Linked DNA regions of Sus scrofa. The protein of the gene in region 3 interacts with the protein of the main gene of each other region in a biochemical or structural test. Links are inferred from orthologs where the notes say so. Each region holds a gene or a part of one and is shown on either strand. Other genes may lie near its edges.

What was found.
Region 1: of the proteins of PLK1 (region 3) and CSN1S1, one has a biochemical effect on the other in vitro, tested with the Homo sapiens proteins (2 studies listed by BioGRID). The link is inferred for Sus scrofa from reciprocal best matches to the Homo sapiens genes PLK1 and CSN1S1.
Region 2: of the proteins of PLK1 (region 3) and TOP2A, one has a biochemical effect on the other in vitro, tested with the Homo sapiens proteins (2 studies listed by BioGRID). The link is inferred for Sus scrofa from reciprocal best matches to the Homo sapiens genes PLK1 and TOP2A.

What each region holds. Positions count from the first base shown.
Region 1 is NC_010450.4:66,887,009-66,890,759, reverse strand, and holds the start of CSN1S1 (alpha-S1-casein precursor), read right to left. Parts: upstream 2,530-3,751; 5' UTR 2,481-2,529; intron 977-2,480; 5' UTR 965-976; coding exon 914-964; intron 1-913. UniProt on the Homo sapiens protein: Important role in the capacity of milk to transport calcium phosphate. Casoxin D acts as opioid antagonist and has vasorelaxing activity mediated by bradykinin B1 receptors.
Region 2 is NC_010454.4:22,025,181-22,028,931, reverse strand, and holds the end of TOP2A (DNA topoisomerase 2-alpha), read right to left. Parts: intron 3,670-3,751; coding exon 3,626-3,669; intron 3,235-3,625; coding exon 3,094-3,234; intron 2,149-3,093; coding exon 1,949-2,148; intron 1,586-1,948; coding exon 1,457-1,585; 3' UTR 480-1,456; downstream 1-479. UniProt on the Homo sapiens protein: Key decatenating enzyme that alters DNA topology by binding to two double-stranded DNA molecules, generating a double-stranded break in one of the strands, passing the intact strand through the broken strand, and religating the broken strand.
Region 3 is NC_010445.4:22,548,384-22,552,134, forward strand, and holds the start of PLK1 (serine/threonine-protein kinase PLK1), read right to left. Parts: upstream 2,513-3,751; 5' UTR 1,055-2,512; coding exon 647-1,054; intron 1-646. UniProt on the Homo sapiens protein: Serine/threonine-protein kinase that performs several important functions throughout M phase of the cell cycle, including the regulation of centrosome maturation and spindle assembly, the removal of cohesins from chromosome arms, the inactivation of anaphase-promoting complex/cyclosome (APC/C) inhibitors, and the regulation of mitotic exit and cytokinesis.

The DNA.
Region 1 (3,751 bases), on a different chromosome or scaffold from region 3:
CTACCATGAGATACCACCTCACACCAGTCAGAATGGCCATCATTAATAAATCCACAAATAACAAATGCTGGGGGGGGGGTGGAGAAAAGGGAACCCTCCTGCACTGTTGGTGTGAATGTAAGCTGGTACAGCCACTATAGAGAACAGTTTGGAGATACCTTAGAAATCTACACATAGAACTACCATGTGACCCTGCAATCCCACTCTTGGGCATATATCCAGACAAAACTTACCTTGAAAGAGACACATGCACCCACATGTTCATTGCAGCTCTATTCACAATAGCCAGGACATGGAAACAACCCAAATGTCCATCAACAGATGATTGGATTCGGAAGATGTAGTATATACACACAATGGAATACTACTCAGCCATAAAAAGAATGGCATAATGCCATTTGCAGCAACATGGATGGAACTAGAGACTCTCATACTGAGTGAAGTAAGTCAGAAAGAGAAAGACAAATACCAAATGATATATCACTGATACCTGGAATCTTATATAAGGCACAAATGAGCCCTTCCACAGAAAAGAAATCATGGACTTGTATGTTTAAATATATGCTAATTCTTTATTGGACTCAGGCAAAGAGCGTAATAACACTCATTGATTCTATTTACTATGTTGTTAAATACATTATTCCTTTTTCTTTTCTTTTCATTTTTTGTTTTTATTTTTTTACTGTGAGGCATTTATATTTCAACTCAGATTTTATTTGGAGTGATGACTTTGAATGAACTATGTAATAATGATCAAGATGTGAAGGATTTCTACAGTTTTAATATCAAGGCTTCAAAAGGTAATTAGAGATCATTCAATACTTTTAAGATTATTATCCTCAGTTTCTTGTGTTTGATATCAGGTAATTTCAATCAAGAATCTAGAAGCTTCTAAATTCTCTACCATACTCACAGGCCTGGCAAGGGCAACAGCTGCAAGACAGATAAAGATGAGAAGTTTCATGGTTGTCAACACCTATATAAGAAAACAAAATAAAAATTTAGGTCTGACAGAAAATTTACTCACAAGAAAAATTTATCATTCAAATTATCTTGCTTAGTGCTTATATGAGATAAGAAACACCAGTATCACCCTCTAAAACAAAACATTTGATCCTTGAAGTGGTAATAGGGTTTTGTCAGAGGAATACATAAACATTAATATTTAAATACTACTAAATTTAAGAATACTACAATTAATTATTTTAAATATTTCCTCTTAGACCATCAGATTTGCTAAAAATTGATAATAAACTAAAAGGCACAGGGAACTGGCATTTAATTTTATCTGAAAAAAAAATTTTTTTTTGGTCTTTTTGCCTTTTTTTGCTCCCACGGCATGTGGAGGTTCCCAGGCTAGGGGTTGAATCAGAGCTGTAGCCACCAGCCTACACCAGAGCCACAGCAACGTGGGATCCAAGCCACGTCTTCGACCTACACCACAGCTCACATCAATGCCAGATCCTTTAACCCACTGAGCAAGGCCAGGGATTGAACCTGCAACCTCATGGTTCCTAGTCGGATTTGTTAACCACTGAGCCACAACGGGAACTCCCTATCTGCAATTTTTTGAAGGTGTTTTTCTAGGTCTATGTTAGAGCATCCTGCTTTTTCAGCGTCTTTGGGAAAAACACTGTTGGTGCATATTATGTAGAAACATTTAACCTCCATCAATTTTTTTTTAAAGTCTAGCTATTATGTTATGTTTTTCTACATTGCTATATCCATGACATGACTGCATAAAGACGACTTCATTGAGCAGAATCATAAGATTCTGATGTCTTATCATGTGTGACTTCTAGAGTTCCATCAAATTACAAGAACCCAGAGATACTTAGAACTTATGTCCTGGGAAACTGGTTTCCAGAGAAATTAGGAAAAGAAAGTCATAATATACATGCAATTTGTTTATACATTAGCCAACAAACTAATCAGCTTATTTTATACATACTGTTTCAGTCTACATATTGTAGAATCTAACTGCATTTGTAAGGAAGACATATTTATAAATCCAAAATGAGTTTACTGGTTTTATTCATTTGCATTTTTCCAAATATCCAAATCTAACCATCTTTTAAAAAGTAGTCATTTATATCTGTGTATATCATTGACATATCCTTTATAGAATTAATTTTATTAACCTAATGACATGGAATAAAAATGGTCTTGAAATATTCTACCAGAAATGATCCTCACTATGATCTTTAAAAAGATTATAAATTATTTCACATAATAAGTTTTCATAAAATTTGGCAAAAAAAATTTGGTCTTTATAAAACTATTATTTTTCAACTAAAGCTCTGAGATAGATGGCATCGACATTTGCAAATGCATTTTTAAGCCACCAGTATATCATTAAAAGGTATCAATATTTGGAATCACACAGAAAAGTTACCAGTGCATATTTTTTAGTGAGGAGTGAAAAATTAGACAGATTGAAATCATAATATATCACATTTTGCTATATGTAAATGAAATACCTTGAACCCAAGACCGGAAAGAAGAAGCAAGCTGAGCTGATGATCAAGATGGTGGCAGATCTCTTTGTTTCACAAATATTTAAACCTAGTGATTAGTAAAATGCTAATTTTGTGGTTTCAGTTCAACCAATAGTGTCATTTAAATTCTAAGAATTCTCTCAAAGAGGAAATTAATTTTCTGTCCAATTTTTCTCCCAAGAAATTCTGAGGAGAGTTTTCAACAAAGGAGTGATTCATGCTATGATACCAAATTATACAGGAAATGGAATGACATTATTCAAAATTAAGATACATAAAAATTCCATATTTATGGTTATTATAAGAACATGCTTTTTAAGTTAAATGGATAATTGGAAAGATTAATATAGCAATAAAATTTCCTTTACAGCTTTTGAAAAAGTCAATACCTGTAAGGGAAATTCTTGAGACAAAATAAAATCATCAAAAATTTTTAATTTTTATAATTGTACTAGACCATGAGAAGATTTCATCATCTATTTCACCTTTTAAAACTCTATTTATTCCCTATTATTTATTCTAAGTCTTCTAAGTATTTATTCTAAGTATTCTAAGTAAGTTACCTTGTGGAGTAAGTTACCTTATATGTGATCTGATCTTTTTTTTAACCAAAAAGAAAATACAATTGCCTTATAAACTTTGGTAGTATTTTAACTACACCAAATAATTTTCTGCTTGCTTTATTTTGGGTATATGTGTTGTGATAGTATTCATTAATTTAATTGTTAGATTTCTTAATTAAAAATAATTATTCAAGAATAATTTTTATCTAAGAATACAATTTTTAAATACTCCCCCCCAAAAAAATCAACCATAACTCCAATTTTCCACCTTTTAAAGTAAGTAAATAAAAGGGAAAAAAAACTTTCTTTCCAATCCTGAAATATAATCCTAGAATTAACTGGCATTGTTAATTTTAGGAAAAAAATTGCATGCTGAATAAAATATCTATACATAGAGCTGGATTTAAAAAATTGTTGATTGTGACTGCTTGTTTACAGAAAGGTATCACACTATATATTTAAAAAAATTCTGGAATTCTCATTGTGGCGCAGGGGAAATGAATCTGACTAGGAACCATGAGGTTGCAGGTTCGATCCCTGGCCTCACTCAAGGGGTCAATGATCTGGTGTTGCCATGAGCTGTGGTGTAAGTTGCAGACACAGCTCAGATCTGGCATTGCTGTGGCTGTGGTGTAGGCTGGCAGCTACAACTCCAATTCGACCCCTAGCCTGGGAACCTCCATATGCCAT
Region 2 (3,751 bases), on a different chromosome or scaffold from region 3:
CCACATGGGGAACTCCTGGCCTGGGAATTTCTGCATGCTGCAGGTGTGGCCAAAAAAAAGTTTACATTTATAACTATTTATTGATGTAGGGCCAAGGCCTTTGGAGTGTTAAGGAGATGACTTTAGTACCTATGTTTAAAATCCCAGGAAAAACCTGGTTGGCCCACGATTAGGTCATGGTGTTGATCTCTCAGACCTTTCACTTTGGCCAAGAGCTGTCGGGCACATTAGAAAGTGATCAGAATGGTCCCCCAAACTATTTTACAGTGAATAGTCAAGAGGTATATATTTTATTTTTATTTTTTTGTCTTTTCTAGTCCTTAACCCACTGAGGGAGGCCAGGGATCGAACCCGCAACCTCATGGTTCCTAGTCAAATTCGTTAACCACTGAGCCATGACGGGAACTCCAAGAGGTATATATTTTAGATAAAGAAAGGGTATACTGCAGGGGGAAAAAGATGGGCAAGAATCATGGGTTGAGATGTTCACAACATTTTATTAAAGTACAAAATTGTTGGAATTAAGCTGAATAGAAAAACATAGTAAATATTTACAAAAACATTGATAATACCACTCAGGTCACACACATGTAACAAATACAGGAAGGTCTTAAAAAAGTTGACAAGTGGAAAATCTGGAGATTTCTCAAAATGGATAGAACAGTTAGTTCACGGCTCGGTTTGGCATCAACGTAATATGTAAGATCTCTGGAGTGAATGTTGTCCCCACTCCCTGTGATCTAGCGCCGCCTAGAAATTTTGTTCTTGGGGACATTCAGACTCAGGCAGCCAGAGGGGTTAAGTCAAGAATTGAGATAATCTACGTTATGGTCTAAATTTCTTCATCCTGTTGACTGTGTTGAGGTTCTGTAGACACAGTCATGGTTTTTGCTCAGCTTCTGTTGATATTCAGATGGATGCAAAGAACATGAACAATTTTCACTGCTTAAACAAAAATTCAGCAGATAAAAGGCTGAGAGGAATATTTGATATTGGAACTACATAAAGTCTATCTAATGGAAAATTATCTACACAACTAAGATAAAATAGAGATTTAATCATGCCTAATCTCATATTTACTGAATGTAGGCAGAGTAGAAACTTTTAGGTCAAAATGCTCTAAGTTTAGCTTAATGAATGGTCAAAATACATTATGCTGAAGTGACCATAGAACGATCTCTGGAGGCCAGAAAAACTTAAAATCAGATTTAAAAGGAAAACAGACTCAGTACATACACAAAGCAGAGAAGAAAACAACGCCCACAAGACAGTCACGACTTAGACAGTATTAGAAACATTAAGGGCCACTTGGGTTCTACACACTTCACTTTGTGGTTCTGAGTTCAGTTACCTTCCCCAAACTCAACTCGCAGGGGAGGAGATTAAGAGGTTCAGGTAACTTTAAAACCAGTCTTGGGCTCAAAGAGGCCATTACTTAAAAGAATCACCTCACATCTTAAAACAGATCATCTTCATCTGATTCTTCAAGGTACTTAATTGGCTTCTTGGTCCGTCCAGATTTTGCCCGAGAAGCCACAGCCAAGTCTAAGTCCAGATGGAAGTCATCGCTCTCCCCCTTGGGTTTCTAGAAAAGAAAAGCTCAAGTAATTTGCACAGTGTCAACCTGACAGCAGAAAGTCAATGCAAGAAATGTTTTGACAGACTATAACTCAAGGACTTGTCTATTATCTTTTATTTTATTTTAGTTTTTTTTTTGTCTTTTTGCTATTATCTTTTAATAAATAGTTAGAAGAAGATCCAAGGCAACTCCCTCGTTGACTAATTATCTGCACATTTAACTTTTTACAGCTACACCACATCGAGTAAAAGGCATAATGGATTATGAGATTAAAATTTATTTTCTTAAAAATGTGCCAAATTATTAGGAGCAAAGCTTGGTCATGTGTTTCAAAACATCTACAGCAAAGGGACTGACTAGGATAAATACCTTGCTTGTGACTGCTTTAGAAATCATTTTCTCGAAATTAGAGTCGGAATCATCAGAAGTGGATGGCTTCCTTTTGCGGCGACCCTTAGGTTTGGGGGGATTAGGCTTTTTAGAGACATCAGAATCCAAGTCTGGATCCTTTTTGGCTCCTTTCGGTGCAGCCCTTTTTTTGGCGCCTGTAGTAGAGGTGGAAGACTGACCTGCAAATCAACACAGACATTGATCATGGCCAGTCGTAGATGAACTGTGGGGAATTGCTGGCACTGAACTTTGTTCAGCACCCTGCTGACTGCTTATGTTTACCATAGGAAAAGACAACCTAATAGAGGTGAAACTATATTAGAGAATCAAAGTTATTCTTTTTTTTTTTTTGCTATTTCTTGGGCCGCTCCTGCAGCATATGGAGGTTCCCAGGCTAGGGGTCTAATTGGAGCTGTAGCCACCGGCCTACGCCAGAGCCAGAGCAACGCGGGATCCGAGCCGCGTCTGCAACCTACACCACAGCTCATGGCAACGGCGGATCGTTAACCCACTGAGCAAGGGCAGGGACTGAACCTGCAACCTCATGGTTCCTAGTCGGATTCGTTAACCACTGCGCCACGCCACGATGGGAACTCCCAAAGTTATTCTTAATCTGATTTTTTAGGGCCACACGCATGGCATACGGAAGTTCCCAGGTCACACTGGAGCTGCAGCTGCTGGCCTACACCACAGTCACGGGCGACACTGGAGCTGAGCCTCCTCTGCCATGTCTATAACTCATGACAATGCCAAATCCTTAACCCACTGAGTGAGGTCGGGGATCGAATTTGCATCCTCACAGACACAATGTTCGGGTTCTTAACTCAGTGAACCACAATGGGAATTCCTAATAGGATTTTTTTTGTAGGTCTAAGCTTCATGTTAAACATTTGCAACTGTTTGTAAGGCCTATCATCATAGAAATAAGCTAAGATAATGCTTAATGTTTTAAGAAACATGCTATTTTTAAACCTTTTGACTAGCAATTTTGATACTAAAGACCTAAAGATTTGTTTTCATTTGAAAAAGGCTTAGTTTCAATAACAAAATAAAAAATTGAAATTGACTTGTAGTAGCCGGTTAGTTAATCCCAATATTAGCCCATCTCAAAGATTTAGGCTCACTTTTTGCTGCTGTCTTCTTCACTGTCACGTTCTTCTTAGAAACAGGTTTTATAGTTTCAGTTACAGCTGGGAAATCAGCAACCGGAGAGCTTGGAGAAGGCGGTACATTATCCTTGGCATCGTCGGCGTCAAAGTCTGAGACTTCAAATAGGAAGGAAAAGAGTCATCTGAGCAACATGTGAAAATCTGTTTACTGCTTTTGTCCCTGCTCTGAATTCCTAGTTAAACACTAAGTCTTAAATAGTCTCTTCTGGAGTATTTAAAACTCATAACTTCGTTCTAATTTCTGGCTTCTTCGTCAGCAAATAATTATTTTTTTGTATCTCTAATACCTAGCAAGCACATCACTTTTAGTATATTAAATGTAGAAGAGATTTATGTACAAATCTAAACCTAACAACATCAATGTAATGCTAGCAAGAACACACATATATTCTCAAAGGAAGGACGTGGATAACGTAGTCTGGATGGGAAGCCCGTTGGACATGAGTGTGCCGGTCGAGCAGATGTCTGTTTTTGCCTAAATACTTACCTGATGGGGTACTTTTCTGTGGCTTCGGTTCTTTGTTAGTATGTCTAGAAAAAAAAAATTAACATCCTGATAACAATTCTAAATGTGTCAAAGAACAAAGAACATACCATCTGCTACTGTAAACAA
Region 3 (3,751 bases):
AGGTGAAAGCTGCCTAGGACCCTACCCAGCAGTCCTTCTCCAGGACAGCTATGCTCTCCACTCTCCCCTAAGCCAGGCCACAACGGTTCAGAGCGCCCTCTCTCCCACCAGCTCCCTTACCTGGGACTCCTCTCTCAACCCTTCAGGAAGTTCAAGAGTACCCCGTATGCCCCCCCCCCCCCCCCGCCACCCCCTCGCCAGGCCTCTTCCGCAGCAAGAGATCCCTTTTCTGACCCCTCTCCTCCCCGGAAGCCCCCAAGTCTGGCTCCAACTACCCTGTGCCTGACCCAACCCCACTCCGGAAGGTCCAGAGCACCCCGTACCTAGCAACTCCGGAAGACCATTAGCAGGGCTCTCCCGCGACCCGCGCCTCCCCAACTCCGCCCAACTCCTAGCGTCCTTGAGCCGCCTTCCCTAGAGGCAACGCGACCCGGGCTCCACTAAACCCGAACCCCCCTCCCCTAGCAGCCCCAAGTGCCAAGCCCCCTCTCTACTCGAGACCTTCTCCACTTCCAGCTCGAGATTCCCACCCAGCACCTCCTCTCCAGCAGCTCCGAGTCCCGGGGGGTCCCCTCCCCAGCAGCTGGGTCCGGACGCCCCAACCCCAGCCTGCAGGCAGCTCCAGTTTCCCAGCAGCGACACTCACTCTCCGGCGGCAGAGCTCCAGCACCACGAACACGAAGTCGTTGTCCTCGAAAAAGCCGTGGAAGCCGACGACGTGCTGGTGGGCAAGGCTGCGGTGAATGGATATCTCCATGGACATCTTCTCCTTCTGGTGCGGCTTGAGCAGCAGCGACTTCGGCACGATCTTGCCGGCGAACACCTCCTTCGTGTCCGCGTCCGAGATCTCGAAGCACTTGGCAAAGCCGCCCTTCCCCAGAAAGCGCCCGCGGAGATAGCGCCGCCGGCTGCGCGGGTCCACTAGGACCTCCGGGATCTCTTTCGCCGGCGGAGCGGCCGCCGGGGCCCCGGGAGCTGCAACTCCGGGGCCCCCGGCTTTTCCTGGGTCAGCCGGTGCCCGCGCCAGCTTCCCTGTAGTTGCCGCCGCACTCATGTCCCCGGAGTTGCTCAGCGGACCTAGCAGGGTCTGGGCCGAGGCTTGGCACCGCTCTGCCCCTCCTCGAATTCAAACGCGGCGCCGGGAACGTTACAAAAGCCTACGCGCTACTGATTGGCCGCGGGGATTTAAAATCCAAACCCGCCCGCCGCGCGGCACTATGGGAGCTCTCTGCGCAGCAGCCTCCTTTAAACCCGTGCCCAGCCCGGGGAGGAGAAGCTTGATTGACAGGGACTCGCGGACACGTGGGATGCCTGGGAAACCAGACCCGGCGTGGGGATGCTGAGACCCAGTCCCAGGAGAGGGGGAGTTCGGGGTTTCTCCCTTTCTCGGCGGCTGGGGAAGGTCGGGCAGTCCACGTGCACCTCCCCCAGGAAGTTTTTCCCACCACCTTCCTTCACCCCTGCCCCGCCTTCGAGCTTATAAACTGAGAACGGAGACCCGGCAGCGCCGAGAGGTAGCTGGGAGAGCCTTAACACCCGCCTTCGACGTCATCAACTCTCTTCCAAGTCCCTGCAGTAAACTAAAATCTAAGTAAAAAGAGGATGCTTGCCAGGCAAATGTGACCTTCAAGACAAACCCCCTACTTCCCTCCTTCAAATAACAGCTGCTCCCGAGCCTCTGGGTTACAGCTCAAGGCTACTCAAAGTATGGTGCAGGAACCACCAGCATTATCACCACCTGGGAGCTTGTTAGAAAGGCAAAGCTTCAGGCCTCACCGCAGGCCTCCCAGTGAGTCCTACACTTAGGGAAGTTTGAGAAGCACAGAACCAGAGCCCCCACCCCGCTATTCTGCAAGAAAGTCGGCTGGCTGGCTCACTGCTGTCTCCCAGCGCCTAAAATAGTGGACCTTCAATTGTTTGGTAAGAGGGACTGTGTGGCTGGTTGGCGGAATGCCTGGCAAACTGGTAGACCAAGGCCAAATTTGGTCTGCAGAGGTGTTTTGTTTGGTCTCCCGCTGTTAAATTTTTGGATCCATTTACAGGTTCAAAAATACAGAGAGCGCACATAAAAAAATCAGTTTTGTGGCTTTTTCTTAAGGAAAACTACTTGCTGTGGCAACTCTATGCCTACATACCTTTCCAGTTTGCCACAGTTCCCAGCTACCCCTTTGCCCATTTGCCTGTCTGGCTTCTGTAGATGTTTGAGCGGAAACCCTGCAATAGCCGATTACCCAGGTTAGTAGTCTTTGGTAATAGTTAGACATCCTATGATGTCTGTGCTAGAACTCAGCAAAAATCAACCGAATTACAAGTATCTCTTTACCTGACTCCCAATAAACAAAGTGGCATGATGACATCATTCCTACCCCATGTCCCAAGCTCCCAGCATAGTGCCTAATAAAAAGGAGTGATTAAAATGTTTGCTGAATAGGGAGCTTCCATTGTGGCTCGGTGGGTTATGAACCTGACTAGCATCCATGAGGACCCAGATTGGATCTCTGGCCTCTCTCAGTGAGTTAAAGATTGCTGTGAACTGTGGTGTAGGTTGCACATCTGGCTCAGATCCCACGTGGCTATGGCGTAGGCCAGTGGCTGCAGTTCCCATTTGACCCCTAGCCTGGGAACTTCCATGTACCACAGGTGCAGCCCTAAAAAGCAAAAAAGCAAAAAAAAAAAAAAGTTTGCTAAATAAACTATTACATTTAGAATGGATAAGCAATGAGGTCCTGCTGTATAGCACAGGGAACTCTATACAATCCCTTGTCATAGAACATGATAGAAAATAATATGAAAAAAAGAATATGCATATGTATAACTGGGTCACTGTACAGCAGAAATTGACAGAACACGGTAAATCAACTATCATAAAAAACTTTTAAAAAAATAAAATGTTTACTAAATAAGTTTTTTTAATTAAGTTATTCTTTTTTAACCCCTGTGATGTGTAATATCCATTTTATCTTTTTATAAAGTTGACTCCCTCTGCCAGAAAAGTATACATATCTTAACTGTACAGCTCAGTGAATTTTCACAAACTGAACACACCCCATGTAAACAGCACCCAGACTGAGAAAGAGAATACTACCAACACGCCAGAAGTCTCTCTTTGCTCTGTGTTGGGGCTCCCCAAGACCACCCCCAGTTTGATGATTCACTAAGAGATTCCCAGGGCTCAGCATAGAGTCCTACTCACAGACGGCTAAGGTTTATTGCAGCGAAAGGCTACGAAGCGAAATCAAAAGGGAAGAAGCGCATGGGACAAAATCCAGAGGCAACCAGGCCCCACCTTCCCACAGTCTTCTCCCAGTGGAGTCACACAGGACACACTTGATTCCTCCAGCAATGAGTGTGATGACATGCATGAACTGTCATCTACCAGGAAAGCTTATTAGAGACTCAGCTCCTAGGGCTTTTCTGGGGGCGCCCTCTGCTAGCATACACCCAAATTCCAGATTCCTGGAGGGAACGCAGGTATACAGCATAAACCACATTGTTTGCACAGTGTAGGCCCAGTGAGCGACTCTTTATCATTAAGGAAATGGTGAGAACCTTCCTGAAATCCAAGAACTGAAATGCCAGCCAAGGGCCAACCACGGAGCAAGTCTTTCTAAGGAGAGCAGTCTCAGGCCTGCTTTAGTAGCTCTCTTCTGCACAGTCCACCCCCCTCGGCCCTTGGCCAAGTGTTCCTTGGAGCAAAATTATAATCATTAGGCCCCCCACCTGAAAGAGTGAGACCAACCTGCAGTATTGC